4 linked regions of the Astyanax mexicanus genome follow. The protein of the gene in region 2 purifies or fractionates together with the protein of the main gene of each other region. This does not show direct contact. Links are inferred from orthologs where the notes say so. Each region holds a gene or a part of one and is shown on either strand. Other genes may lie near its edges.

Region 1 (7,952 bases), on a different chromosome or scaffold from region 2:
GTTAGGAGTTTATCCTGTATTGGAAATATGAAACTACTCTGAAAGTGGGTCTAAAATACAAATTCTGGCCACAAATGTTAACCCATATGTCCCACCATATTCAATAGAGTTCAGGTAACATCTATATGTTATGGACTTTAATAATGGAACCAGCAGTCTTACTACATCACCTTATGCAGATTTAAGATAGATAGGTAGATATAGATAGGTAGATATAGATAGGTAGATATAGATAGGTAGATATAGATAGGTAGATATAGATAAGTAGATATAGATAGGTAGATATAGATAGATAGATAGATAGATAGATAGATAGATACTTTATTCATCCCGAAGGAAATGTAGGAAATGCTGCCATTTGATTTTGTTTGTCAGAATTTCCCAGTTTCATGTAAGAACTTCAAGTGGAATACCCCCTTAAGTAACATTTCCTACTTGGAAAATAGGGAGAGCACCACCAACCCAGATTTCACAATCCAACATGCCTGCCCCACATAATAATTTACCATTACTTATATTTGTTTGTGTCTCATTAAATCAATGGTACACACAGTACTGTCAAGTTTTTAAGTGTGGACATTGCTATCGCTAACAACTCTAACCTGGAACAATGCTAACAGTGGTAAACTAGGATGTAAAAGGTAATAGATATATTAGGTGGGAACTAAGCAACAAAAACAATAAGGTATTTTTGGTTTGTTTGTGTTTGCTAAAAACTTTGAACCAGATGAATGTAATTTAAATTGTGTGTATTGCAAATATTTGTCACATTTTATTCAGTAGTATATATTTAGTACATTTATTTATATATTTTTTTAAAACCAAAGAGATATATTCATGATAATATATAATAATATATAATATAATATAATATATGATCACACACTGGAATGTGGCAGATATAGATTAAAACATTACATAGATCATCACAATCATGGTAAAATTAGGGTTTTAATCTAGATTTAAAACCAGACAAGAAAGGTGAGGACCTATTGTCCAGTGGTATACCTACTTACTTACTGGTTACAGTAGTATAGTTAAGATAAAAAGAAACAGCATGTTTATCACCTTTTCTTGTGGTCACAGAAACAATTTAATCAACAATTTAATCTTATCAATTGATCTAAGAAGTGGAAGTGGATACTTTAACAGTTGCGTTCAAATATTAAGATTCTTTACCTGAGGCCTCACGTAGGCAGTATCTAATGCTGTTATGGTGTATACCCATCCCTAAAAATGTTTCCATACAAATAACAACCATTTACATTTACAGCACTTTAATTGTATGGGTCTTTAAAATCTAAATATGTGTTGACTGTTACATTTGAACAAGAAATGAGAGAAATCATTTAGTCATTGTAATCACTGACGAGCGAGCGTCATGGTTTAGATCATCCTGCTGTGCTTGATGTTGCAATTTGACGTATTAACACTACTTACTGATAGATAACTTTCTTTGGCGCACAAATTATGTTCATATGTCTGTGATGGGATTTTTCTTTCATAATCTTACTTTGTAATTTCAAGGTTAATGGCACTACTTTAATGTGGTTATGAATGCTACTGATGTTTTAAATACTTTTAAGCACCAAGTTTATCTACTATACAATTGAGGCCTTCCAAGAAAACAAATTATAGTTTAAAATTAGGTTAATTTCTTTTCTAGGTTTTTTTATTTTAAGTGTCTTTATGGATAAAGAAATATATCTCTAAATTAAGCACATTTTAGTTGTTAATGTAAAAAATATTCCTCCCAAAAGGGAGATATGTTTAATACATGGCTTTTTGTTGGAAGGGCTCAATTTAATTTAATTAAACTAAGAAAATAAATATTTTTTTATTACTGGGGTAAACTTACACTATGTTTTTAGTTTCTATGACCTGTGATCTGTGCCAAGTAACACTTTCTTCTCGGGTAAATAAAAAATAAAAAAATAATAAAGTTAAAGCCTAAAGCTTCAGAATGTTTATGGTGTGTTTCTATCTCATTTTCCATTTCATCCAACCATTGCCCTGCTTTTAATACTGTTATGTGATGTTTAACAAACTTAGCTAGAGATTATATTAAAAAAACAAGGCTCTTCTTTTGGAAAATGTGAACCAAAATAGGAGGTCAGTCAGCTGAATAAAAGAACATAAGTACATGGCTGTGAAATATTTTTACACTGACATACCAAAAGTCATGGGACAGCAGTATTTAAATTGAAGTCATGAAGTGTTAAATCAGAGGACTGCGTGGTAATGCCCACACCTCTATAAGATATACACACCTGGGTAAGGTGTGATATGTTATTTTGTGAATAAGGTTAAACAATATCCAGCAAACTCTCGGCAAGAGGATGTTAATTTTTAGAGTTCAAACAAGGCCTGATAGTTGGTGCCAGATAGATCGGATTTTCTTTTTTTTTTTTAAAGCTGTGCAGACATTTAACATTCTTCAATCCACAAACAGTGTCACGTGAACCTGGAATACATCATCAAAGCTATTGCCACCCATAGTGGCCAGCTCAGTGGGTATGGAATGTGACTGGTAGCGTCTGGATAGAACTGTCATTTAAGTTACTTACTACAGAAATCACATCCACATTTAATGCTGGAGCCCCATATGCATACTGTGCAGGACATTAGATCCTTCAGCTTGTGACAGCCAATGTATATGTTTCATTCTTGACCTGTGACTTTTGGCATGTCAGTATACTATGGAAACTATTTCCCCGAAAGCCTTTCTACTCCAAATTTATATTACAAAGCTGTCTCTGATGGCGGTTGTAAATATATCTGATTCCGCGCTGCACTGATTTTCAGTTTTAGTAAGTTTGTGATGATAATGCCCTATGATGTGGAAGTGGTTTTCCCCTTGTGGTGAATCTGATATGACTGATATGAATATATATGTGTATGTGTACGTTTGCTCATTTATTTTCAGTTCTATACATCATAATTTTACTTTCTAGGGTCTTTCCACAAGGTTTTCTTAGTATTCCAAGGCTTATTCTTAGCCAGCATTCTAATGTCAGGCTCTCATGGGTGGAACATAGGCTAGGTGGGTTCCAGGTGGGCTCCAGGTGGGCATGGGCTCTGAGTGGTTTTATTTATGCAGTGGGCATGGGCTCTGAGTGGTTTTATTTATGCAGTGGGACCAAGTTAGGCTTCCCAAATGGACCCCATCATTACAGCCCACCTTAATCTTACATTGGTCCCATCTAGGCCCTATGTGTAGTGTACAACTCAGAAAGGCCATGATTAACCCCTCCAGGTTCCATTACTGACCCTGATAGGGTCCATTGCTGACTTCTACATGTGGAGTCCACATGGAACCTGTTTCGTTTACCAATTATATACTGGAATTTGTTTTAAAATGATCACTGGTACACACTCAAAAAAAAGGTAATAAGGAAATAAGATACCAGGTGCAGTAAGTTTGGGGATTTCCATTTTCCACTAGCCTGCAGGTAAAATGTGAATCATCAATTTCACAACTGACTGATTCTCAACACCCTCACAAGCATGTTGAGAATTTGTGAATGCACTTTTATCTTTTCTATTGGTCTATACTAGGTATATGTGTACCATAAACTGTACACAGAAAGGCCTGCAATCAGAGCACACCTAATAGAGTATGAATAATGCTGGCACTAATACATGCATTATTCATGAAATGTCTTCCCTAATTTAATACACTAAAAACAGGACATCAAACATATTTGGAGTGGTTTGGTTGGAAACAGAAAATAGTAGAGGAACAGTTTGGTAACTAAATGTAAAACTACTGGTAAACTCCCATGTGCCTTTGATTTTCTGTCCTGCACATATTTAAAAGCAAGTTTTAAGCCAAGATCTTATCTTGTGCTATTGTTATGTTACAATAAACCTGATTTGCATAATGATGAACAAATAAGGTGTGTGCTTACATATGATGAAGATTTTTATCTAGGAATAATCCTTGTAAATGTTCGATGAACTATATATAAATTAACAAGATGTAATGTTAATGCATACTTTTGGATTAAATATGGAGGCGAAACTGGGAAAAAGTTCCTGGCAACTGCTCGAAAGTCAAATTGTGAGTATTTAAAAAAAAGGAATAAATGATCAACAGCAAGGTACATCTCAATATAAGAATTTACTCTCAGTCTGTGCCAGGTTGAATGATAATAATTTGAATGTCTCAATTAAATAATAATCAAATATGTTATAATTTTTTTCATTAAAATATGATTCAAAAGGCAGACAGACAGACAGTCTATAGTTATTTCTAATAGTGCACCTGCTATAATGATTGTAATTTCTTAATAATAGTGTAATCAAATATGATATGAAAAAAAATTGTTTTGTTTTTGTTCATTAAAATATAATCCAAAAGGAGACAGACAGACAGACAGACAGACAGACAGACAGACAGACAGACAGACAGACAGACAGACAGACAGACAGACAGATAGATAGATAGATAGATAGATAGATAGATAGAACAGGTGTCTATAGTCATTTCTAACAGTGCGCCTTCGCGGCTGTTTCTAGGTTATTGACGCATGCGCATCACTGACTGTGGCTTTTAGGAAGTGGGCGTTTCCTGGGCATTTCCAACTTAAAGCAACATCTCTGACAAACAGCGGAGAAGAACTGAAGTGTTCACCGCGCGCAGCTCTCCTCACACATCCTCACACATCTCCGCCATGTCCTCCAGACTGGACCCCTCCACATACCTGTTCGACCTGAACCCGCTGCTGATGGACAGGTTCTGTAAGATGATGGACAGCGGGCCGGACAGTCTGGGCTGGAGGGGGCTGGGTAAGACTGCGCTCTGTAATCGGTAGTAGGAAGGAGTTAGAAGTAAAGTTATTAAGTACCGCTACTTTGCGCTCTAAAGCTGCTGCTGCTGAACTGGTTTCTGTCTCCACAGCTGCCCGGATCCTGCCCAGCCTGCTGGAGGTGAGGCACACGGAGATGCACGCCGCCGCTGGCAGAAGCCCGACCCATGAGATGGTGTGGTCCTGGGCTCAGCAGAACAAAACTGTAGGGGATTTAATTCGGGTTCTGGAGGAAATGGGACATTACCGAGCTCTGAATCTCTTTCAAGGTAAGCTTTAGACTTCAGACTGCTTCACACTTCAGTGAGTTTTCTCTATTTACGTCTATTGACGTCATTATTAACCACAAACACCTCTTCACTCTTCCCCTTTGTCATTTTTAGACTTAGTATTCACGAACTCGCTTCATTAACTACTGTAAACATTTTAAACATGTATCAATTGAGTAAGAGCTTAAAAAATAAAAAAATAATGATGCTTTATTTATTTAGTGCCTTTCCTGAAACCTCGAAGCGTATCAATTGAGTAAGAGTTATAAATAACATTAAAATAATGCTTTATTTTTATAGCACCTTTCCTGAAAACCCAAAGCACTTAACAACACAGCATTAGGTACAATGCCTAAAAACAAACTGCCCAGGTCTCCCGGAAGTTGCAGGAGTCTACCACATATCCATAACATCTCCCTCATGCCCGCAAGTCAGATAAAATCTCCCAGAATCTACTACAAGCCACAAACGCACATGTAGGCTCCCCTCATGTGCATATTCATGAAGCGCATGCAAAACAGAGAGGGTTCTGATTGGTCTGTTCTCTGCAAAGAGTTTGCTAAAGAGTTCAGTAAGTAAGAGAAGGAGCATCATGGCTCCCATCAAAACTCATCACACCTCTTACTAAAAGATAAAAAAAAGTCTTGCCCTCTCTACAGTCAGTAATAGTGATTTTAGCATTGCCCACAGGGGACTAAATGATTGCAAAAGGCATGTTGAGGTGAGGTAATGTATATATAATTCATTTTTGCAACTTGAGATGTGTGCATAAAAACCAGCGTGGCATAGAAGCACAAGAATAATTCAGGGGAAAAAAAACATATACATGTAACAGATAAATGATGTGTTGTGGTCTCTGAGTGCTCCAGCGGTCTACAATGCTGCCACTATGATTGGAAGATTGCTGGTTTGAATCCAGGTCATGCAGCTTGCCATCAGTCGCCGAAGCCCTGAGAGAGCACAATTGGCCTTGCTCTCTCTGGGTAGGTAGATGGTGCTCTTTCCCTTCATCACTCCTAGGGTGGTGTCGATCAGCATAAGGCATCTGTGAGCTGATGTATCAGATCCGAGTTGCTGCGCTTTCCTCCAGAGTGCGCTGTGATGCTATTTGGCAATGCTGCTTCTGCAGCAGTTTGAAAAGAGGCGGTGGTGAAATAATTTCACATGTGTCAAAAGAAGGTGTGTGCTAGTCTTTCACCCTTCTTATTTTGTGGGATCATCTGTGATTGGGGATATACAGGTGACTAGCAGCTGAATGGGTGGGAAAATTCTCCTAGCTAAATTGGGAGAACATGGGAAAAAAATGTTTAATACATTTAATTTTAAAAAAGTGGTTTGGTTTGGAATACTCTATATTAGGAAACCTGAAAATAAGAAGAGGTAGAAAGAGGTGGTGATTATAATAACCAGTCATCCCAACACTTTCTACATTTTATTTTCTGTTAAAGTCACATCGCAGAAAGAGTTTACATTAAATGATTATGAATACAACAACTTTTAAAATGAACTGACAGTGGAAAGATGCATCCTGGTATTGTATTGTGGCTCCCTGCAGTGAATGTGGATGTGATGTCTGTCAGAGATACTTTTCTATTCACATAGACAATCCTAGCAAAGGGCCTCTGATCACGATCATTACCACTCACTGTGGGCAGTAAAAGCCTTCTGTGATGTATTCCTGATTCACAAGTGTCACTGTGGTTTGAGGAATGTCAAATGCCCTCACAACTTCACAAATGTCATATCCCACTGCACCCACTATTAGGCCTCGCTCAAAGTAATTCTGATAGCCTTGTTACTGTTGCTTTGCCATGAGCATGCTGGCCTAGTGTTCAAATTCACTCACAAGATAACACCTCACAAATGACACAAATTATTGGTGGTGTGTTATCTCAAGCTGTCCTCTGAGGCAACACCTTATAATCCATTAACATACTGTGTTTTTAACAGTGTTTTTCTAAATCAGAAAACTTGTGTATGATTCGTTTGCGGATAGAAAATGAATCATGTAAAGAAATTAGAGTCATTAAGTTTTTCTGCAGAATCAGTGAACAGCCAGTTTCACATATTAGACATCAGTGACATCATTAAAATTATACTGAAATTAAAAGAAGTACAGTATTTTTCCATTGCAGTAGTAGGTAATTAAAGTACTGGGCATTAAGTGTGTTTTAACTGTGTAAAGGGTTTAAATCCTGTGTTTCTGTAGGCAGGGTAGCCTGTATGCATGACCAGATGTGAGAGTATTTGCAGACTGTGTTTATTTGGCATGCTGTTTCAGAACAGCAGAGTTTTTCCACATGTGACTTTCCCTCCCTCATATTGTTGGTTAGATTATTTTACAGTTTGTGTTTCAGTTCCACTTTGTTTCTGTGTATGAACATCCTCTTTCTCACGTAACTACTACAACTTAGAAATGTATGATCCACATTGATGGGGCCTATTTATAGTGTTTGTTCTTAAATAATAGTATTTCATAAAGTTTGATGAGCAGATTCAGAACAGAATATGCTGAGGTAGGAGAATTGAATATAATATTTTTTAATAAATATTAATGATTCATTAAAAATATATATTAAACATTTAAACACCCTTAGTGCTCCTGCTCAAAATTAAGTGACACTAAAAGTGTTTAAAGTGTAATAAAATATACTAATTAAATATCACATAATAATTTGTGGCGAGGTGTGACTGACAGGTCAACATGTGTGTGGCCAAACTGCTAATTTGACCTGACTGTTGGTATCACCATTTTATTTATTTATTTTTTTCATTTTTAGACACTTCAATTCCCTTCTCAACCTCTCTCGAATATTCAAAGGTATGTAAAAGTATTTGTAGTTCACTCATGTTTTATACACTGATGTCTTCT
Region 2 (7,543 bases):
GGGCAAATTAATCTAGTGACAAAATTGAAAGAGTCTGGTAATACATTAGCAGTTTTATTTTTAGGGATATAAAACAGCAATGCTTACTGTTGAGATCAGAAGGTAGATTATCTATTATTTATGCTGAAGTTTATGCTCTCTTTTTCTGTCTCTCACACTTATGTGGTCACGCACACACAAACACATACAGCTGATGTCATGTTTCCGCTGTTGAGTGTGAAATATGGAACTACTACATTAGCGTTTATTGTCTCCATTAAACTCAGTAATATGTTTGAGATATTATATATTATATAAAAAAAGAATCTAGGCTGACAGGTGTAAAAACCAAACACCATTATTTTTGTCCCATTCCCAAAAATACAGTTAAGTACATAATCCTGATTTCATCCATGATTTAATCACAGAATATTGTTAAGATTTTTACCATTATTTGAAGGGACTGGTACTAATAAGACATGATTGTCTTATTTATGCAGAAATTTAAAACATTCTATAAGGTTCACAAACTTACAAGTACAACTATATATTATTATATCCAATCCATTATTTAAAAATCTGCCTAATTTACTCATTTATTCTGGAATTTACTGAGGTCATGAGAGCAACCCATTTTTTCACTAATGTTTGTAGATATCTGCATGCCTAGCTGCTTGGTTTTATACACCTGAATTCAGAATACAGAATATTGTTGTGACAATTATTTCAAGACATTAGCACCAATAAAACAAAGTCATATTTATGAAGAAGAAAATATCTAGAAAATCCTAGAGGGTTTACAAATGAGAACATCTAATCCAATTTTTTTTTTTATCTACCCAATTTATATTTGGCTTTATGCACCTGAATTCAGTGATTTGCAATGGTGAGCAATAAAGTGTTGAAAACATTCACAACTGCAAGATGATATTTTCAGCCTACTCGAAATGTGTCATTTTTACATTAATAGCTGAATATGGAGCTACCCTGGCATTTATTTTCTCCATTACACTAAGTAACTCACATTTACACACAACAATATTCTAGTTTAAAAAGCATCAACACTACTCTGAGATATTATAATACAGTAAAAAGAAGTCTTCCAGGTGTAAAGCACACTACATCATTATTTTGTTCCATTCTCAAGTAAATAAATAATGATTTAACCATGATTTAGTCCGTTTAAAAGCATCAAAACTACCCTGAGATATTATAATACAGAAAAAAAGGATCTAGTCTGCCAGATATAAACCATACTACACCATTATGTGTGTCATATTCCCAAAAATATAGTTTACATGGTTCATACACGTTTTAATCAATACATTTCCATTATATTTCCATGACTTTTGTAATGCCCTCCGGGCAAATTTCATGACCATACGATTTTTAAAACATCAGTGCAGACATGGACAATAAAACCAAAAATCAACTAAAACATTTTCTCCATCTATAAACGGAAATATAAAGATTTGTAGACCAAATTTCCATGACTTTTCAAAAACTTTGTGGTCATTATTATTTTTCCAAAACTTATCCAGGACTGAAAATTGCTATTTTCAAGTTCCATTACTTTTACAGGTTTTTCATGACCGTACAAATCCTGCGTTTATATCCAGCATTTAAAAAATGTAATCAATATTGCTTTGACAAATATTTTAAGTGATTGTCACTAATAAAACAAGGCCGTATTTATGCAGAAATCTAGAAAATTCTAGAGGGTTCATTAACTTTAAAGCAACAGTGTATTAAAATATCCAATACAGCCTTTATTTAGGCAGATGTTTAAATAAAACAAAAACTGTAGATAAACTGTGGGTTAACTATTTAACATATCTAGATACGCTAAGCTAACTGTCAACACTTAACCAGGCTAATTAGCTAACTGACCTAAACTACTTTTAGTCGTTTGACCAGATGACATGTTTAGCTTTGAAGGGTAACGTTAACAGCAATGACAAGTGGTTTAATTAGAGGCATAATTTAGTCAGAAACTTAAGCTAATTAATATTAATAGCAGCACAACTAAGGTAAGTTGAGTTAGCTAGCTAAATTATCATTATTATTGGTCATAGAGCTAGCTAAATAACCTAGCGAGCTAACTGGCTAACTAACCCCTTAACTTTCACTCACGTTGAGGAAGTTAGCCAGCTAGCCAGGCTAGCCTTGTACAACACTGTTTTAAGCTATGTTAGCTAGCTTAGCTAACTAGCTAACAATTCAATAACCTGTGTTCTGTCAAGTTCTAATACCATGTCAAGTTCTAATACCGTGCTACCCTAGTGTGTACGTTTAAGTGTACAAATTAGAATAAAGTTAAAGCACTATATGTTAGGTGATTAAAAACATTTATTATATATATAGTTATATTTTTATTATATTTTTTATAACTTTTTTTATTTTTATTTTTTACACGGTTGTAACACTCAAGTAAAATATATATCCATATGAGTGTGAGTCCAGATTGTACTAAATAAATAAATTAATTAATTAATTAACTTAAATTAACTAAATTATCAGGAAAAACTAGAAGTAAGTAACCCAGGTCCAGAAAGCAAAAATCCATCCCAGGGTTTTGTACCAACTGCCAACCAAGCCAAGCTGCGGAAGAGCCGCCCAGGCAGTTGGTACAAAACCCTGGGATGGATTTTTGCTTTCTGGACCTGGGTTATCCACCTCTAGGGAAAAACACATGAAAACATAGTAGCACATATCTATGGGGAGCACAACTCGATAAAACACCACCTACATCAAAACTTAACGCTAACTAAAGCGTGTCAGTTAGCTAAAACAGCTCAAATAAAGCGAAGTTACGTGGCTTAATAACCCTGAATAACTTAAAAATTAACTTAACGTTTTGTTAACGCTAATTTATCCTTACCAAATCTCAGCCAGTCCGAAACAGGCAGCGAATCCATGACCCGGGTAAATTCATTCACCACAGCCGCTGGTAAATCGTAGATATATTCGCTGTAAAGTCTCATATCGGACATTTCTGGAGCTGGGCGATGTGTTAAACCCTGTAGGAAGATTTTAAGATGTTTCAGCAGCTAGCGTGGCTAAAGCAGCCCGAGTTATTTCCACATGAGCTCGGAGTGAACCGAGTGAACGGCTCCCAGCGGGCAGAAGAGCAGTGAGTAATCCAAGCCCGTCCAGCAGCAGTACGAGTTTGACATAAATTCCCGTCCGTTCTAGGTGACTGACTGGTTGAGAATCCCAGTTTAGCAGGGCTGTGTTCTCCCACAGCCATGCTGTGTCATGCTTGGCAAGGTTAGCTACTTTCCTCTCCGTGTGTGTGTGTTTTTTTTTTTTCAGCAAGCTCTATATCTGTATAACCCACTGTTTTACACTTCCTCTTTCCTCACTTAGCTAGCCCACTTCCAGGCTGTGAACTTCTATCTACATAAACTGTAGTTATTGGTGATTAGTGCTGGGCTATATGGACCAAAGAATGAATTAATAAATAAATAAATCCGATCAGTCTGTCTGATTTAACTATATATATATATATATATATATATATATATATATATATATATATATATATATATATATATATATGTTTGAGTAAAATGAACACTGTGGTTACAAATAAAAATATTGTCATTTAGAGTATTGATTTGCAATAAATGAGAAATGGCTGAAATAACAAAAAGGGGACCTCAAATTTCAGACCTCAAATAATGCAAAGATTTCAGAAATCAATATTTGGTGGAATAACCCTGGTTTTTAATCACAGTTTCCTTGGCATGTTCTCCTCCACCAGTCTTACACACTGCTTTTGGATAACTTTATGCCACTCCTGGCACACAAATTCAAGCCATCAAACCAAGCTGAACTGCTTGAATTTTTTCACAAGGAGTGGCATAAAGTTATCCAAGACTGGCAGAGGAGAACATTCCTCATTTCAGAAGATGCATGAAAACTGTGATTAGAAACCAGGGTTATTCCACTTATGAATATGAGCTTGTTTTTTGGCATTATTTGAGGCCTAAAATCTTTTTTGTTATTTCAGCCATTTCTCATTTTCTGCAAATAAATGCTCTAAATGACAATATTTTTATTTGTGATAAATGTTGTCTGTAGTTTATAGAATAAAACAACAATGTTCATTTTGCTGGAACATATACCTATAAAAAGCAAAATCAGAGAAACTTATTCAGAAACTGAAGTGGTCTCTTAATTTTATTTCCAGAGCTATAAATCACAATTTTTTTCAAAATTGTATTTATTTTAAATGTTAAATGCTAAACTTCATAAAATGTTTTATTTTATTTTATTTTTTTGATGATTTTTATATTTTTTTTAACATTATGTCACCAATTTTACAGCTGAATTGGTTCATACTGTATTGAAATGTGTATCAAAATGATGCTGTTTGGGTAGAGTACAGTAGTACAATTGCACCACTGTTATTGAAATATTGATCAGAATAAATATTGATATTTAATTATTGTCCAGTCCTATACATGACTGCATGACATAAGCAAAATTGCATGACACTTATTTAAGAGGTTGAGTTCAGTTTCTGTCTAGAAGTAGGTAAAAAGTAAGAGTGTTCAGCATGTTTTGATGAAGGGAGATTCCACCTCCATGAGTCAATTCTGGAGATCTAATCAGATTTGGCGGTTCGGTGGTGTAAAATGGTTTAAGCGGTTCATGGTGGAGAAACCCTGTTACAGTAATTTATGTACTGTCTTTCTAGAACAGTAGTGACTAGGTCTGCAACACAAATATATCTATTTAATGTAGCAACTAAAACAGCCAGTGAAGCTAAATATGTGTTCTGAGATGAACTTACAAGCTATACTTTAATCAGTTTTTGACACATATCTTAAAAGTATATAAGGAGAGCCACATCAAAATCAAATATCCAGTCTTACATACAGTATTTGTGAGCAACAAAAGTATGTGAACATGCTTTTAGTTTCTGTTGTGACTCCTTTGTGCACCAATAAGTGCAACTAAATGTTTCCAGTAACTGTTGCTCAGTCCTACACATCCACTTTAGCACATTTTAAGCACATTCCTTCAATCCTGTGGTAGAATGTTTATGTGTGTAGGGTCACTGTCTTGCTGCATGACCCACATTCACTTGAGATTAAATTTACAGTATGATGGTATGTGCTGGTATCCGGCCTGGCCCAGATGCAACAAAAAAGGCTCAAACCATGAAACTATAACCGTGTTTTACAGAGAAAATAAGGTTTTTGTGCTGGAAATTGTTTTCTTTCTTCAACCATAATGCTCCTCATTTATAATTCAAATCTCTATATTGGCCTCATCTGTCTTAAAAACATTGTTCCAGTAGCCGTTCAAGTGCGTGACCAAACCACAGACACTGACAGATACAGTAAAAAATATTGGATAATATTCTTTTAATAAAAAAAAGCAGGTTTAATATTTGTGTCTCAATTGTTTGATTTGTTTTTTTCTAACCTACTTTTAGGACTTTAGTGACTTTATGCAGCATATATGTGCATTTTTCTGTGAAGACCGATCTCTCTAAAGCAGAGGACAGACTGTTAGTCAGACTGTTATCTGTCCTTGAAAAAAAAATGATGCATGCTTTACAACTTGTGTGTGACTCCTTCAGGACTAAGCAAAGACGAACGAAAATGTGACGAATGTTCCAGAAACCTTTTAAATAATATCTTTTTAAAGGTCAGATGGACTGAAAATATCACCAGACGTGAAAGACACTGCTGCTCTAGATATGGTCAGAGGGGCCCAAAAAATGGATAAAATGTCCTCACAGACCACCAGTGTGGAGCTCAGGTAGAAATCAGCAAACTGGGAGTTGCTATTGGTTTTTACTTTTTTTTATGGAGCTGAAGGCAAACATTGCGAGGGTTAATCTTTGCCTAGTCCTTGGGCCACAGATCTCACTCTGTTTTGGAACTGTTCATTTTAATTTCCTTTTATCTTTACATCCAAAAAAAACTCTAGTCAAACTGGCAAAATCTATTTTTGGACTCTGAATTATTTATTTATTACTAAATCTTACATTATTATAGTACCATTGTACCAAAACTACTTTAGTAATTATAAAATTGATGCTGTAATACTAATGTCACGAGAGTAAGTTGTAAAGTGCTCTTATTGTAGCTGTTTATTATTAGTACTACTTACTTTTCCAGCCATTTGTTGTCCAACCTTTTTTAGATGTATTGCTGCAGTAGGTTCTAAATAGCTTTAACGTCTGATATTTGTTCTATTGTGAATAAAACATGTCTCTGTGAGATTTACAAAGTATATCTGAAGAAACATATGTAAAAAAAAAAATTTAAATAAAAAAAATGTACATAAACAAAGTAAAAACTACTTGTGTGATTTTTGACAGTTCTGGGGAATCTTATCAAATTAAGTTTCAATATTTTTTTGTGTGAAATGTATTTATTATTAATTACTTTAAAGAAATTTTAAATCACAGGAAGTAATTTAAAGTAACTACTCATTACGTGGTGAAACCCATACCATAACAGCATTAAATATGATTGAATCTTAAATAATTTTCATTGCTGAGAGTATTTTCGAGTTTATACTTTTTAAAATTTTCAATTGCAAGATAAATAAAAAAAATAAGACATTAAGCACATTTTAGAATGAAAATATGAGATTAGTTTTTACCAAAACCCTAAGTAATGCATACACTTGATTTATAGACACCTAATAATTCTGGAAACGTGTAAAACAAATGTTGAGCATGTTAAGAAAATTAATTAAGATATTTTAAGATAACTCATGGTCGCACCAAATGAGGAAACAAAAATGTTTCATAAGAATTTTCATGTTCGCAAGATTTTTAATGCTTACACTCAAGATTTACTCTTGTTTTTAAGATTTTAAAACCCTCAAATATCTATGACCCATATACTGGCTCTGCAACGTTTTAACTTTAACTGCAGAGTGTGAGATTACTGCTATATATGGTTTAACACCTCACTACGTTTACCTTACCTGATTTCACCCCACAGATGATTCTTCGAGGGCCTTCGAGGAGCTGGATGTGCCGCACTGTGAAAGGACCAGCCCCTCCAGGGACCCGGTTCCAGATCTCAGGTCAGTGATGAACACCTCATATTAATGCATGATGCAGCTGCATTTTCAGCACGGCAGCTTTTGAGATTCCACTCCAGAGTCCATAATTGGAGACTTCATTTGCAGGCAGCTGGATGGATTTTTTCACAACACAGTATATATTTTTTTCTAGTGCATGAGCTTCAGACGAGGCTTTCTTCTGGGACGATGGTCATGCTGTAGCTCATTTTCAGGAATTTAAATCCTTGGCCATAAAAAAAAAAAATAATAATAAAAAAAAAAAATTAAATCATTAATGCTCACCTGATTTTCTACTTATACTTTCTTACTAATGTACTCTGAATGCAGAGATATGCAGAAAAATAAAATATATCATTTTGTGGTCTTATTTATTTTGTGCAGTTTTGATATTTAATTTTATTGTAGTAAATTGTATACATGTATTTGTCACATTCCTCTTTAGTTTCTTTAAAAAAAAAACTTGCTCTTAAATTCACTTTGCATGCATATGTATGTTTAAGTG
Region 3 (8,044 bases), on a different chromosome or scaffold from region 2:
ATAGTTTTTTTTTTGCTTGTTTCTGGTTGCACTTTAACCACAAATGGAACATTTTAAGTGAAAACAAATTAAATAAGAACTAGTTTTAACCATTTCTTTATCATCTTTAGTTTGATTTTTAGTAGGGGGAAGAAAACGATTTAAATCGAAAATTGGATTTAAAAAAAAAAAATCTAAGATTTTTTTTTTTCGGCCATATCGCCCAGCTCTATACTCTAGTTTAGAGGTTTTTTTTATAAAACACACCTAAGGAAAATAGCAGGTATTAATAAAGCTATTGATTCCATACTTTTAAAAAGGTAATGATTTTCTTTAACTATATAAATGTTTTAATCGTTTTGTGTATTGTATGCTTTTAATTGCTTCCTGTTTTGTATTTGTGTTCATGTACTTAAGGCTTTAATCCTTTTATCTTGATATTGTTTATCTTTTGATGTTTATTAATTACTTAACTGTATTTATCTTTATGTAGTATACTGTTAGTGTTTTAATCCATACACTTTTTGTATATATTTCTTTTATTGCTTAGTTACTTGCTTTATTAATGGTTATTGTATTGGTGTTTTAGTCTTATTTTGGGCTTATATTCATTAAAAACATTTTAACGTTTGTCTTTTAGTGCTTTAATCAATTAATATTGTACTTACCTTTTACTATTTTACTATTAATCTTTCTGTACTTAATTATATATTATTTTTTATTTATTTTTTTATAAAAATTAAAGGCGGGTTTATTAATTGTATGTCTTTATACGGGATTTTATATTTGCATTGTATGTATTTTTGTTTCATTTAATGTTTATGCTCTTTGTCTTTTTCAGATTTTTACATTTTTAATTTGTGTATTGACCCAAGGAGTATGGGTTCCTCTCAAGGTTTCTATCTCTCTTTCTGAGAGAATTTTCTTTGCCGCTGTCTCCTTTGTGCTTACTCAAAAGAGGTTTGGACACTTTTTTTTTTTTTAACTGTTCTTAATTTTGTTTGTTTCTTAACTTTGTCAATAAATGTTTTTTTTATTGCTATCACTTTTGTCTGTTTATTTGATCACACTATCGCTAAGTTTCTTGAAATGTGTTTATGGAAAAAAATTAATTTTAATATTTTATTAAATGTGGATTTGATGCCCACATTCAACCACTTTTTAACACTTCAACTAAACACTGAAAGAATAAATCAGAAATTATTGATTTATTATTAATGTAATGAACAGAGATGTTCTGAAGTTAAAAGCTGATTATCCCATGTGTCTCATATTCCCAAATATGATAAGGTTGATAAGGTCATGTCAGCTTCAAGGACAATTTCAGTTTTGTATTTCAGTGAAAGTTGTTCCTTTAATTGAATTTATATAAATAATGTATCTGGTAATATACAAAGGCTCTCAGTGTTGTTACACCTTTTTGTTTTACTTAAAACCAAAGTGTAATTTTCAACAACTCGCCTCTATGTGATGTTTGACCACTTAGGAATTACACTGACATTACTTCTACAAGTCATGGGATAGTAGGTTTGATGCTGATCATGAAGTGTTACCTCAATGTATTGGCCAGTAATTTATTATTGAAGGTTATTCATTCAAATTTATTGTGACTGGTGGTCTGCCTACAATTGTCTGTGCAACTCTGAGAAATATCTATATACAACTTTTAAAGCGATTAAAGCTTTGGGATTTACATGTGCAAAATTAAGCCCTGCATACAGAAATATACTGATAACTTTCTGATGCTTTAAAAAATAAGAATCAAAGGAATCAAATTCCAAAAGATAAGCATTAGCATTTCAGAAGTACTGTCCGAGGTCAGCATACACACTAGAAAAACAGAGAAAAAAAAATCACAGTTCTTACAGTCTGCTTGTCTTACCAGGTTCCATGAGACACTGCAGTATCCCTTTATTCATCCAATAACATAAATTATACATTAATAAAACATCTGTTTTATTAGAAATACTTGTTCAAATTACAAATTAGCACCCACAACTCCACAGAGGTTGGAGGACCATAATTTAATATAATTATATATTTAAGTTACATGATTTTGAGCATATTACTACATTATTTTGCCTTTCAAAAAATGCCAAGTGAGCAAATCAAATCTAAAACTTTTTTTTGTTCCCCCTCTGCATGTGATACATAGAGATCAGTAACATCTTTCAGTAAAAATGGTCTGTAAAAACAATATGAAATTTGAAAAGGAAAAAAATACAAGCTACAAAAAATGTAACTTTCAAAATAAATTCATGGTGATCACTTGATTATGACTGAAATGGACACCTGCTAAAACCACATACCTATCCTTTTGGTTTGAGGTAAATCTGTCTACCACAAACCAAAATATACAATTACAGTAGAGGAATCCTGCTTTAAGATATTTGGCCTCAGATGCATCAGTAGCACTTTACAATTAATTTACATTGTTTAACCATACTTATGTTAGAATGCCTCAACTAATTATTATTATGACACTATTTAAGATATTAATTCCTACAAAATGTTAAAACTGATATCGCAATTCATCTTTATTTACAACATTCTTAAGCATTACAATTTAGAAATGTTAAATAATATTTACCACTTAATTAAAACAAAAAGTTTTAACAAAAGTTCTGACGCTTTAAATGAACACTGTCAAAATTAAATCCTTCTCAGTAGTTTATCGGTTTGGGTCCGCATTGGACAACGTCTGCATATATGTGATCCCTGGCCTCGACCATATACACGGTTTTGTTTTATCAAACCACTCCTTGCTGCCCTGCAGAGAACAACAGGTTCAATATTCAGTTTTACAGTGTTAAATATGTCAGGTCAAGAAATACTTTCTTTATTTTATATTTTTTTTATAAAAACAAGTATTTATGTTAAGTGAAATCAAGAAAGACCATATTTTATTTTTTATAAAAAAATTATTTATGTTAAGTTAATTCAAGAGAAATGGTCTTTTAATTTTATAAAAATAAATAGTTCAACTTTAAATGTCTAGAGATACATTGATGCTGTTAAAAATGCATTTTCCAATAAAGGGAGTATTGGTAAAACTGGTTATAATTTTTATGTTAAGGCGGCGGGACGTGGTGTGTGCAGCTGCTTAAAGTAACTAATAAAGTAACTTGTAAAGTAACTTAGTTACTTTTAAAATCAAGTAATCCATAAAGTAACTAAGTTACTTTTTAAAGGAGTAATCAGTAATCGGATTACTTTTTCAAAGTAACTATACCATCACTGGACAGGAGACAATACTGGCAGACAGAGATTGTAAATGGTGGATAGATGGAGAGATAGATAGATCACTTTATCCCAGATTATTAATGGCAAGAATAGTAGTAAATATATTTGCACTCAAGGGAAAACTTAATTGTTCCCTCAAAGGTTTCAAATTGGTCTTTACCGGTTCAGATGTGTTCCCTCTAAAGTACAAAGTCTTTCCTATCAGCAGGGAGTACAGATTTGTACCATTTAACCAGCCAAAAGGTAAATTCAGTATTCTGTGCCATTGAACTTATAAACAAAATATAATATTGTTATAAATTTTTAATTTAGAAATGTATGAAAATTTTGGATCTTCTTGACACATATATTTAGTTGATGATGATGATGTTTATAATCTTTACTGTACAAAAAACAAGGTACAGCCCCAGCGAGAAGCTTTGTACTCTTTTTTCTTTTCTTAGTGTGAGAAAGGAAAACAAAATATTTATATATATATATATATATATATATATATATATATATATATATATATATATATATATATATATATATATATATATGCTGCATATGTATGTGTATCTGGAAAGCGCATATTAATAGATAAAGTACCAGTATCAGTAGTACCAGTTATGTGGTACTTTATAATGAGTGGAGACTGAGGGCGGTATCAGATTGTAGAGTGTAGAAATGGTCAGTAGAGGGAAGTATAAGACAGTTAACGTCAGTGTTCAGAGGGATGCGTAGGAAAGCAACTTATGTATACATTTTGACCTTCGGCTACCCACAATTCACTGTCCACATACAAAACAAAGTAATAAAAGAAAAATAGCCCAACCAAAATTGAGCAAAAATGTAAAAAAAAAAAATTAAAGTGTTGTTTTTTGTGCTGTCAATATTAATAAGCATTTTAGTTTTACTTTATTTATTAATTTATTCATTTTAGTACAGAACATATGTGCTTACAGGACAATACAGGTATAATATGTCAGACATGGATCTTTGCATCCCCTCCAAAGTCCTTATACAAATCGTACTCATCGCCAACCGATTTATTACACTAAATTACACTTTACATTTTCTTCACATCAACTGACCCTAAAGGTGACCAATACTCACAGACACAACCCGAAAATGACCAGCAATATCTCAAAATCCTCACAAAGTGTGGAACAACATTACTAAATAATCAATACTAAAATCACATTACTGCACGTTATACCCTTCATTGAGGGTCGCGGGGGGGCTGGTGGAGCCAATCCCAGCCGGCTGGCACGATACACCCAGACAGGCCGCCAATCCATCGCAGGGCAGACCTGAGACGGTAGGGGGCAGTAGCGCTCAGTAGACTCTGATCTCCCCGGAACAGCCGAAGATCTCAGTGTTTACCTGAATCATCTGCTCGGTTCTGATCCAGAAGCTCCTCAGTCTGCAGCTGAAATGGCCACAACTATCAGCACACAGCGCGGCCAGGTGAGCTCACCTGTCCTCATTTACATACCGCAGCACAGCGCGGTGTATTAACCCAGCGGTGTAGCGGGAGGATCTTCATTAGTAACAGCGCTGATCTGTTACTCAGCTGATCCTCATGACGACATCAGCTGCTCCCTGCTAACAGGCTAACAGCTCAGATATAATACTACAGCGATATAACTACATATAACAATTTATATAACACTATATTTTACTTATATACAACTACATATACAATAGCTGCTCCCTGCTAACAGGCTAACAGCTCAGATATAATACTACAGCTATATAACTACATATAACAATTTATATAACACTATATTTTACTTATATACAACTACATATACAATAGCTGCTCCCTGCTAACAGGCTAACAGCCCAGATATATTACTACATCTATATAACTACATATAACACTACATATAACTATATATTTAACTACAAATATATATATGATGCTCCCTGCTAACAGGCTAACAGCTCATATATATTACTACACCTATATAACTACATATAACACTACATATAACTATATATTTAACTACATATATATCAGCTTCTCCCTGCTAACAGGCTAACAGCTCATATATACTACTACACCTATATAACTACATATAACACTATATATAACTATATATGTAACTACAAATATATCTGCTGCTCCCTGCTAACAGGCTAACAGCTCAGATGCACCACTACAGCTGTATAACTATGTACACAACTATATATACCACTATATATAACACTATACAACTTCATATAACTACATATACATCTACTGCTCCCTGCTAACAGGCTAACAGTTCAGATATACTACTATAGCTATATATTACATATAGCTCTATATATAACACTATAAATCTACATATACATCAGCTGTTTCTATCGTTTTTAGTAAAAATAATCGTTGACTTATCGTCAAATTAGTCGACTACCAAAATAATCATTAGTTGCAGCCCTAATATATAACACATTTATATTACTACATATAACACTATGTATAACTATATATAACACTATATTTAACTACATATAAATAAATATCACTATATATACCTGTGTATCACTATATGAAACTTAGTTACATAACAACTGCATACAACTACATAAAACTACATATATACCAGCTGCTCCCTGTAAACAGGCTAACAGCTCAGATATACTACTACAGCTATATAACTACATATAACACTACATATAAATATATATCACTATATATCCCTCTATATCACTATATGGAATTTAGCTACAGATTACTATAGGTTATATCACTAACGGTATATATCCCTGTATAGCACTGTATGTATCTACATATAACTGTATATGTATAGTGTGTGGGCTGGGTTTATGTATTGGTTAGCTGGTTGTTAACTGAGCGAGGCTGCCACTCCTAAACAAACACAGTCACGGAAATAATAAAACTATAAATCAGGATTTCTCCCCTGTGTTTCTGTGGGAGACTGAACCACACTGAACAATCGTAAATGAACCTGAGCTTGTGTTATTAGTTTACTGTCGGAGTGTTTCAGCACAGATTATTAAACAGGGTTTAATATTTTGACTCAAACAATTCTTAAAACACATTGAGTGGTTCTTGTTCAGCATATTTCAGATAGTAAAATATAAAAAAAAAAACTTCTAAACTATCCACGCAGCCCATCAAGTGAGCAGCAGCATTTACAGCGTTTGTGCATGTAAAGGATATTTTTATAAATATAATTATAATTTTTATAAAGAATCTTTATTGTCATTATTATTATTATCATGATGATTTGACACAATGGCAATAGCACAATGGCAAAAGCATGCTGTACAAATATTATATACAAAAATACAGCCAAACTCCATTAAACACCTGTGGCCAGAACTAGGCATCCAGCATCGGTACCTGACCTCACTGATTCTCTGTGTAAAGAGTGGATTCTAATATCTTTAAATATAACACAAGAAAACCGAACTGTGTAGAAAACACACACACACACACACACACACACACTTAAGGGATTTAGGAGATTCAGCAGCACACACACATCTGTCTGTCTCTCTATATCACTGTCTCTATCTGTGTAAATCTCTGTATACAATCAGGTGTATATTGGGGAATTGCCCCAGGACTTTCTGAGGATCACCCCGACCCAGCAACAGCAGCAGGTGCAGATGGACGCTCAGGCAGCCCAGCAGCTCCAATATGGCGGCTCCATTGGAACAGTGGGCCGACTCAGTATCACTGTGGTTCAGGTACTTTCAACCTTTAAACTCAGCAGGGCATGGAGGTTGACCATCATTTACAATGTAGCCAAGCCTGTATACTAAAATATGTTAACGTTTGATATATTAAGTCCTATGGTTAATCCATGGCTTACACAGAGAGTGGGGAGCCGTCAGAGATAGGGTATCAGGAATATCAGGAAAGATTTGTAAAAAATATCATTAATGTAGTTTAAATATCAGTTTGTTTATAAATGGTGTTTTTGACAGTGTTTCTTACAAAAGATAATAGAGTTTGCAGACAGAACAATTGAACGTGATTATCAATTTGTGCTAACTTTAAGATCCAATAATTAGAAGTAGCTTTATTGTTATGACTGCTATGAAAACAATATTGCTAAAGCATTAGAGCAATAACAACAAAAAGGACAATAATCTCAACCATAGTGATAAGGCTACTATTTTCTAAATGAATAATGAAGATTTTGGTACATTTTAAAAATATATTAATTATATATTTATACTTCACATCTATACATATAAACTATAGGTGGAGTTGCCCAGATTAAGGTTAGTCTTGGCTTATCCAGCATTTTGAACATTGTATTAAAACCATTCCCTGGACAGCAGAGACAGGTACTCTAACAAAATCAGGATGAACCTTTCCTAAAATTCAATGAATGAGCAGATGTCCCAATAGCGTATTCGCTGTAACACCTGTAATCACATTATATAAGATATCTATTTATCGTCGCTGTCCTATGAAAAACACTTATCTCCATTTTTGTCGATTTTTAGTTTACTACATAAATTGAACAGACAAACTGTCCCTTACACTGTGCCAAAATTTCTTGATGAACGGACCAATAGAAACTCTTTAAAATGACCTGAAATAAACTTACATCTTTTTACATTGACTTCCTTTAAAGGTTTACAAGGTTTTTTCTCTCTCCTGTAGAGTTGCTGTTTTGGAGATAAGTGTTTTTCATTGGACAGCTACGATATGTTTTTCTGTCTTATTGCATAAACAGTTATCACTTTTTTCTGCAGGCAAAGCTTGCTAAAAACTACGGCATGACGCGCATGGACCCCTACTGCAGGATTCGGCTGGGATACGCTGTTTACGAAACCCCCACAGCTCACAACGGAGCAAAAAACCCTC
Region 4 (8,244 bases), on a different chromosome or scaffold from region 2:
TTTCATGATCAAATAATAAAACACTGAGATAAAGGAATGCTCTAAATACTTTTTAATTTAGTTTTTTTACCTACTGTTTTTATTGTCTCTCTGATGGGCCCAGAAAGTCCTGGCTGTAGAATCATTAATTTGTGTAGCTTAACACTGTAAGATAACATTACTGTACATTCAAATTTGGAGTGTATTATTAGTATCATGACGTTTTGGATCACTGACATTGACATTCTGTTACAAATCTGATAAAATTCTTTATTTTTTTAATATAATCAGTTAGGGGTGTACCATGTCATATCGTATGCAATAATAAAATTAAAATTTCATTTTGTTGCAGTAGAGTATTCTTGGTTTTTTTTTTAATTCAGTGTTTGTTATATTGCCAAGAGTATCGTGAAAAAATACCACAAAAATTGTGATATTATTTTAGGGCCATATTGCCCACTCCTACTCTATAGTAAATTAAAACTTTATTGTTTTATATTATACAGTCTCCTGACAGTAAAATAAGCCACAAATATCAATAAAATTCGAGTCATGCAAAAACAAAAAAAAAGAAGTAAATAACAATAATATTTATTAATACAAATACTGTGATATCCTGTGAAACCCTCAGAATTTTTAAATATACTCTGATATATATTTCTGGTCATACTGCCCAGCACTACATAATAGATGTTGTTCATGTGTTTGAATTATTGTCCAGCACTGTAATGAGCTATCCCTTGTGTTAGGATCAGATTTCTCCTTTGAGATGTGTCCCTCTGAAAGTCAGATATAACAAGAGCTCAGCATCCATAAACATCACTGTGAGCCCTGTGACACAAGACAGGATCACATTTAATCATCTGTAATATGCTTCAAATGATGTTTAGATATAGGATAATCTAAGAACATTACATAATACCAGGATTGTGCAGGGAAGCGCTTTCCAGGCCTCCAGCAACATGCAACCTCTCATGCTGGCCATTTTGCAGCTGTTGCCACGTTTTTTGTAGCACAGTGCTCACAAACAGGGTTGTACCTCAGGGATATTTCATCATCCGTGGATTTACAAGTGAAATAGAGGACTAAATATGAACTATGAGGGCTGTGATGGTCATTATGTAATGGTATTACGGTTGGGCTCTCCAGCTTGCATCGCCAGAAGCATGTGTGCTTTGAGACGACGGATTGCACGGCATTGCGTCTACAGGACTACACACACACACACACACACACACACACACAGACACAGACAAACACAGACATTTTCACACACACACAGCACAGCAAAACTGAGAGAGGAAGGACACTGTTGAACGTGGGAAAAAAACAACACAGGACATTTCACAATTTCTTAACTGCCTTTTTGCCCTTTTTTAGAGTCATCTGTTAGCTGGCTAAGCTGACACTCTGCCTATTTAACTAACTATCCATAATTATCATGATTTGCCAACCAGACTGTTAGTTATCTATCTATCTAACTAGCTTAGCTAACTAGCTGTTATAGCATTGACATTAAATAGCTAACTTAGATTAGCAAGCTAAAACAGCAAGGCTAGCAAAAAACACTATCAAAACGAGTGTATTTTACCTTAAAGTGTGTCTTATTTATCATATTTGCCTGGTTAAAAAATAAACAGTCAAGCCTTTTATTCTTATTCTAATTGTCCTTTCCACCTTAAATAGAGCAGCAGTTACCGTTTACCAGTTACCATTACTACAGTTACTGCTGTGCCATTTAAGGTGGAACGTGTAAAAATTCCTGTAAAAAGATAAACTACTGAAAAGATGATTCCAGCTGTTCTTTAGCTAGCTAACCTAGCTAGCTAATGCTGCATTAGCTAACTGTAAACCTAAACTACACTAAAACAGCAAACTTGGCACAAACCAATTAAACAGTGAACTATTTTTAAATGTTGCAGCTTATAAGACTAGATAAAGCTTGTTTGCTTAGCTATAAATGTGAAAATCAAGCGGTTTTAGATTAAAGTTAAGCTTCTTTAGAAATAGAATGTTCAGTTCCACCTTAAATTGTGCAGCTTTTAAACTACCTTTACTGTGTAAAAGGGAGGAAATCATAGGGAATTATACCACAGTCATTTCCAACTCTGCTATGTGATTGGCTGAGAGGCATTCTATGAGTGCCGTTATCAGCCGGTAATATAAGCACTGTGTAACTTAATGTGTAAGTTAATATTGGTACTGTTGTGCTGATCTACGGCCGCAGCACAGCAGTGCCAAAATTACATTATAGCACTTCCTCTTGTGTACTATTGCTTAATTCATCATCTCACACGATATGATAATATCACAATACTTTGCCCACGATAATGATGATATAACAATACTTGATATTCTACAAAACAACTCTCTTTAATACTTTATAGCATTTGTCTAGCTAATTAAAGAGGATTCAATACTTTCAAATAAGCAAATAACAGGAATTGTGTTTTTGTGTGTGTCAGGTTACACAGTAACCTAAATAGCTCAGCTTTCTGTTGTAAAATAAAATTAGAACGGTTCTGCGCCTGTTAAAATGTCTCTACTCTAAAATCTTTTCAAACTGTGTACAGCTTACAGAAAAATATAGATAACAAAAATTAAAACAAAAATACACTAATGCAAAAAAGTATCAAATATCCCTATCGCCAAATAATATAATATGATATATCGCCATATCGATATTTTGTCACACCCCTGTTACTACTAGCTACTGTTACTGCTGCGCCATTTAAGGTGGAACGGAAAAGATCAAATCGAGTAGCTAAAAGCCTGATGAAATTATGGGACGTGCGCAGGGGATTCCGTCCATTCTCTGCCCAGTAAATACGATTTATTTCGCTACAAATCGCCAGAAAACGCCGACTAACCGTGAAAGCCCTCGGACACACAGACCAGCAACCAACCAAATCCAAACCCAGCACCAAACCCAACACCGTTAACCGTCCGTTAGTTATCTATTTATCTATCTATTTACTCACCCGCTGCTGATGTTGTGTTGTTCTCCGCCTCGCGTCGAGCCCGCGTTTTGCCTCGTCAGTCCCCGTGTGCTGTTAAAATCTGGAGTCGTGCTGCTGAATCATCGCCCGCTACGGAGATCTGGACAGCGCGTCGTCGTGTGCTTCGCATCGCCACGGCAGAGGCATCGCTCACGGAGCTGCGGCGTGAACGGACGTTAGTCCGGCAGTACGGAGCATCACCTCGCTCCGGAGAGTCGTCACGCCCATCGCTACCTCGCGTTTCCCCTCGTTAAAAAAAAAGAAAAGAGAGGAAGAAGACGAAAGAAGAAGAAGAAAAAAAAAACAGTCCAGGGAAGGTTTTCGCCCTCGCCCACGTCGTTCTCTTTTCGCTCGCGGAGGAGAGACCACGACTCTTGCGTAAAGCCTCCCCCCCTCCCCCCCTCCCGCCTTCAGAGAAAGGGAGAGCGCGAGGACGGCAACGCCTACCTGCTGCTGCCCACGCCTGCTGATGCTGCTGGAGATACACTGATTATACACTATCCCCACCCGTGCTCGGGAGAGCCACGCCCCCCTCCCACAGGATTGGCCAGCAGTCAGTGCGAGTTTAATTCTAAATCAAGGGTGTTCCTTAATATCAATTCATATCAAATTAAATCAAATAAATATACAGTGGTGTATTTGCCTCCTTGCAGATTTCTTTTTGCATTTTCAGAATTCAGATTATCAAACAAACTATAACAAGACAACAATAGTAAATAAAAAAGCAGCTTTTAAAATGATGATTTAATTTATGTAAAAACTGTGATTAACTGCATTTTTGTTAAACTGAGATTAATTTCACTAGCCACAACCAGGTCTGATTACTGCCAGACCTGTAAAATCAAGAAACCTCCTAAAAAGAACCTCTCTGACAACACGAAGCAGCTAAAAGATCTAAAAAATAAAATAACACACTATACCTCGATATGAAAAAAAAGGAAAAATTGGAGCAAACAGAGCTATTGTTTTGTGAGAATTTACAGTCTGTGAGAATTTACATCTTCTCCCCCACCATAATCCTCAGCACATTGACATGATGGTACCCAAAAACATAAGCATCCACTCACTCCACTGTCAACTAACCTGAATGATCATGTGCAGCAAGAGGCAAGACAGCACCAGCATTTTAGTTCACCACAATTCCTTATGTCCATGAACCCCTGTATCTGCAGCCTTAGCCTTTATCTAAGAAAAATAATTAGCTAATTACCAAAAGCTAAACTTAACTATTAGATTTTTAGCCTAGTCCCCAACATTAAGAATTTTCCTTATTCTCAAATATCTTCAGGTAGGTTATTCCAGAGTTGGGGGCTTTTAAAGACAATAATGTGGTTCGTAATACCAAGTTACTTTGCAAGAACAAACTCACAAGAACACAATGACTGAGGACTGTGCTGTGTACTTACTATTGTGCAATACAATGAGCCCAGCTGACTACATCACACATAGCATCAGAGATGAGCAACAGAAATGATACAAATGGAAACTAAAAACAGTGTGCGCAATACACACCAGCAGAAAAGTGTTGCTAAATTTCCCTCTAGAGTGTAAAAAAGACAAAGAGCCATGTTGGCTTCTCTTCTCACGGGAAAAAAGTATTAAGTACCTTTTAGGCTGCACATTCTTGTGATGAATTCAGATCTTGTGTCCTATAGATCAAGGCATTCTGAGAATGTATCTATTGTTGGACTTCTGCCTTCCCAAAATAAAAGTGTGCTGCTATAGAAGTGCCACCTCTACTAGAGAATGTCCCGAAGGGTGCCCTTAGATGAAGTAGATACAATGGAACGTAGTGCTGGGTTCTGCTACAGGCAAGAAAACATATCCAAGAGCCCTAGTGGTGTCCTTAGGATGTTTGAGGGACAACCATGCAGCCTGAGGCCACCACTGGCCATACAAATGATCCGCTTTTCAGGTTAGTCACTGCTACCTAGTTAAGCTATGGCTGCCATAGGAGCGTATTTGAGTCTTGAGAAACAACATAATGAACAATCACTGTTTGTATCAAATAAACTAAGATTTTTAAACAAATGTAAATATGATAACTTAGGGCGTTTTCACACCAGCACTAGACTTTGGTCCAGTTAAAACCAACTCTGGTCCGTTTTTTAACTTTAGTGCGGTTCGATTGTGCAGGTGTGAAAAAAGTAATCACACTCCGAGACCTGCTAGAGGAAATTGTCTCAGTTCATTCCCAAATTAACTCTGAAGCGGTTCACTTATGGTGAGAACTTGATCCCGTCTCGATCCGACCCAACTATCAAATCAAGACTCCTTTCATTTGAGCTAAACTGCTGATAAGGCTTACTACAGCTATGAACAAGCACTGTCTCTGCTCCGTGCCGTGTACATGCACGTTCTGTGCTGTGGCCACTTCTGTCAGACTAGCAACTAGCAAGTTTATTATGTGTACAATTGTGCTGCGCGTCCTATTAAAAACACTGTTTGAAAGGGCAGCGTTTCAGCCTGTGTGAAATCAAACCAAACAGAGGGAGAAACCTCTCCAAGTAAACAAACTCATCAACTGATTCAGACCATAAAAAACAACTACATGCAGGGCTGAAAACACCCTTAACTACAATTGTTTGACCAGGGTCTGATCAGTGTATTCTGCCATTGCTTCAGTGCTGAATTTACAATGAATGTTAAAAGTTCACCACTAATGGATCTACAGTTTTTGGGGAGGAACAAAAAAATATCTGGGAACTTTAGTGCTCCATTTCCTGGACAGGAATTCAGTCTATAGCTGTAGCCTATATTTTCATTTCAATGGAAATTCTAAGACTAGGCTTAATCACTGTCTAAGAAACTGACCTTAAATATTCTTGGTAAATGCGTCCAGTATTTGTGTTTTGAAATTTAAACCTCAGACAGCAAAAGATGACGTTAGGCAAGAATGCCTTGCTCTACATGTGTGCCAACATGTGTATTGTAAGCAAACCACATGAGTGGATGTAAGCAAGTTTGCTCTATGAGAAAAAAAGAGTTTTCCTTGAGTTTCATAGTCAATCAAAAATTCTATTCAAGGTTCTTCATTTGAAAGAAAAAAAAATCCGAAAGTGACATTTGCAGATTCAACTGCAGTCAGTTTTCTTGATTCCAAAACTCACAAGCCACAAGACTCAAGCTCATTTCACACATTCACGTTAAACTGATATTTGCTGGTAACTGAAACAGGAAGGGGTTAAGTGTGACTGCAAGTGTTGGGTAATTTACCACAGCATGACTAAGATAAAACACGAAGTCATTTAAAAACTCCCAGTCTTGATGAATAACCATGACCATGAGACACCTATTTAGGATTTAAATAAGATTAAGATTTACTTGACCTACAGTACCACTGAAAAGTCTGGGCATATATTCTCATGCAATGCTTTTATTTTTTTTCCTACATTGTACATTAATACTGAAGGCATATGAAGAAAATGAAGGAACACATAAAGAAAAATGTAGTAACTTATAAACAAACCACCATTTAGGTGAATCTTATCTGGGGTGATGTTAAAGTGTGGTTTCTGAGGCTGGTAATTCTTTTCAACAGAGGTAAGTCTTGGTTTTCATTTCCTAGGGCAGTCCTGATGAGAGCCAGTTTCATCATAACATTTTTGATGGTCTTTGCAACTGCACTTGATGATATTTTCAAAGTGACTGACCTCTTAAAGTATTTTCTTTAATTAATTGAGTTGTTTTTGCCATAATATGGATTAGAATATTACTCAAATAGAGCTATTCACTGTATACCCACTCTACCTCTTCACAACTTTACAACTAATGCTCTCAAGCTCATTAAGAGGACAAGAAATTCAAGTAGTTAACTCCTAAGTTCAGCAGAGCTGTTAACCCTTGTGTGGTGTTCATATTTTTGTTACTCGTTTACTTTGTTACTTGTATTTAATTCAGCAAAATTAAGCAATTTTACATTAAAATGCTTTACACATGCTTGCTTCACCTAAATTGCAAGCAAAATAAACAGCTTACATGGTTAATATTTGCCCTTTACCTTTCTTATGTTACATTTCTTTTAAAAAGTGCTACTCTTTTTTTATTATTTTTTTAATAAAATGTAAAAGAAAATGAATTAAACTCAAGATATGAGTAGAAAATTTGTTTAGTTTCAAATTTACAAATGAAGCAATGTTTATTAGCCCTTGTCCAAACATACTGTATGTAATATAAATGGTTGGGGGGGTGTACAGTATGTGCTTATCGAAAATGTGTTTTGATATATGTTTTTCACAAAAAATGAGCCAATGCCAATGAGTTTGAGTTAGAAAAAATATTTTTTTTGTATCATTTGGTGAAAAATGGAAACGTCCCACAGACCCGAACATCACACAAGGGTTAACTGAAAGCTGAACATTCCAGGTGTGCAATACTGTCATTTAAGCAAGCAAGCACTTTGAATAATCTAAAATCTAAAGTTATGGTTCATGGTTTATATGGTTTGTTTAACGCATTTTTGTTTACTAAATAATTTCATATGTTTTTGAATATGTTTAACTGAGTTTATATATCAGGGTTCATATGCTACAACATTACACCATTTATGAGTATGATCAGTAATTGATTAACTTAGATCACATCAAAATGTTCTACAAGAGGGCATCAATCAGCATCTTGAAATAGGATATCAACCAATGACAATATTTATCCAAATATAATGGATTACACATATTAAGGTAGTACAAACTGATTATGTTTATTTCTTTATGTCTAAAGGTCTAATCATTACAGAGCTTCAAAGCATCGACTCAACCTGGAACTTTAATATTCATGAGGATAATTTCCTTTTGTTTGATTGTATATTGAAGCTACTGGATCTTAAAAACAACATTTAAACTTATATTTTCACAATTATGGGTCTTCATGTACCCAGACTGTGTTCATTATCCCAGACTACAATCAGGTCACTTTCCTGGAACTATCCATGGTGCTGAACTTCAACACCTCTTGTTATCCAGGGCGCAATAAAAAAAAAAAAAAACTCTTAGCATTAAGAGCATCTTAACATGTTCAGCGTGTTTTTTTGAAAATGGAGTCCAGGTTAGGCTTGTTAGCCCCTTAAACAGAGATTTTTCAGAGGCACACTTTAAACTGAGGGTTATGAGAATAACTGGTAAGACGGCAGAATGAGTAACATAAAAATAAAATAAAATAAAAGCTAATCAATGCTAATTTCAGCTCCCCATCACAGAGGAATTAAGTAATGGACAATAATAATTCATTTCTGCACCATCTCCCTTATACACATGAGTAAAAACCTGAC

What was found.
Region 1: the proteins of irak1 (region 2) and irak3 purify together in Homo sapiens (co-immunoprecipitation; 3 studies listed by BioGRID and IntAct, with this or other methods). This does not show direct contact. The link is inferred for Astyanax mexicanus from reciprocal best matches to the Homo sapiens genes IRAK1 and IRAK3.
Region 3: the proteins of irak1 (region 2) and toll-interacting protein purify together in Homo sapiens (affinity purification with western blotting; 11 studies listed by BioGRID and IntAct, with this or other methods). This does not show direct contact. The link is inferred for Astyanax mexicanus from reciprocal best matches to the Homo sapiens genes IRAK1 and TOLLIP.
Region 4: the proteins of irak1 (region 2) and peli3 purify together in Homo sapiens (affinity purification with western blotting; 7 studies listed by BioGRID and IntAct, with this or other methods). This does not show direct contact. The link is inferred for Astyanax mexicanus from reciprocal best matches to the Homo sapiens genes IRAK1 and PELI3.

What each region holds. Positions count from the first base shown.
Region 1 is NC_064409.1:10,746,714-10,754,665, reverse strand, and holds the start of irak3 (interleukin-1 receptor-associated kinase 3), read left to right. Parts: upstream 1-4,571; 5' UTR 4,572-4,676; coding exon 4,677-4,791; intron 4,792-4,903; coding exon 4,904-5,080; intron 5,081-7,860; coding exon 7,861-7,901; intron 7,902-7,952. UniProt on the Homo sapiens protein: Putative inactive protein kinase which regulates signaling downstream of immune receptors including IL1R and Toll-like receptors.
Region 2 is NC_064419.1:4,121,561-4,129,103, forward strand, and holds the start of irak1 (interleukin-1 receptor-associated kinase 1), read right to left. Parts: upstream 3,306-7,543; 5' UTR 2,973-3,305; coding exon 2,861-2,972; intron 1-2,860.
Region 3 is NC_064423.1:8,568,876-8,576,919, forward strand, and holds the start of toll-interacting protein, read left to right. Parts: upstream 1-4,543; 5' UTR 4,544-4,641; coding exon 4,642-4,674; intron 4,675-6,762; coding exon 6,763-6,912; intron 6,913-7,932; coding exon 7,933-8,044. UniProt on the Homo sapiens protein: Component of the signaling pathway of IL-1 and Toll-like receptors. Inhibits cell activation by microbial products. Recruits IRAK1 to the IL-1 receptor complex. Inhibits IRAK1 phosphorylation and kinase activity.
Region 4 is NC_064415.1:31,438,149-31,446,392, forward strand, and holds the start of peli3 (E3 ubiquitin-protein ligase pellino homolog 1), read right to left. Parts: upstream 3,377-8,244; 5' UTR 2,961-3,376; intron 1-2,960. UniProt on the Homo sapiens protein: E3 ubiquitin ligase catalyzing the covalent attachment of ubiquitin moieties onto substrate proteins. Involved in the TLR and IL-1 signaling pathways via interaction with the complex containing IRAK kinases and TRAF6.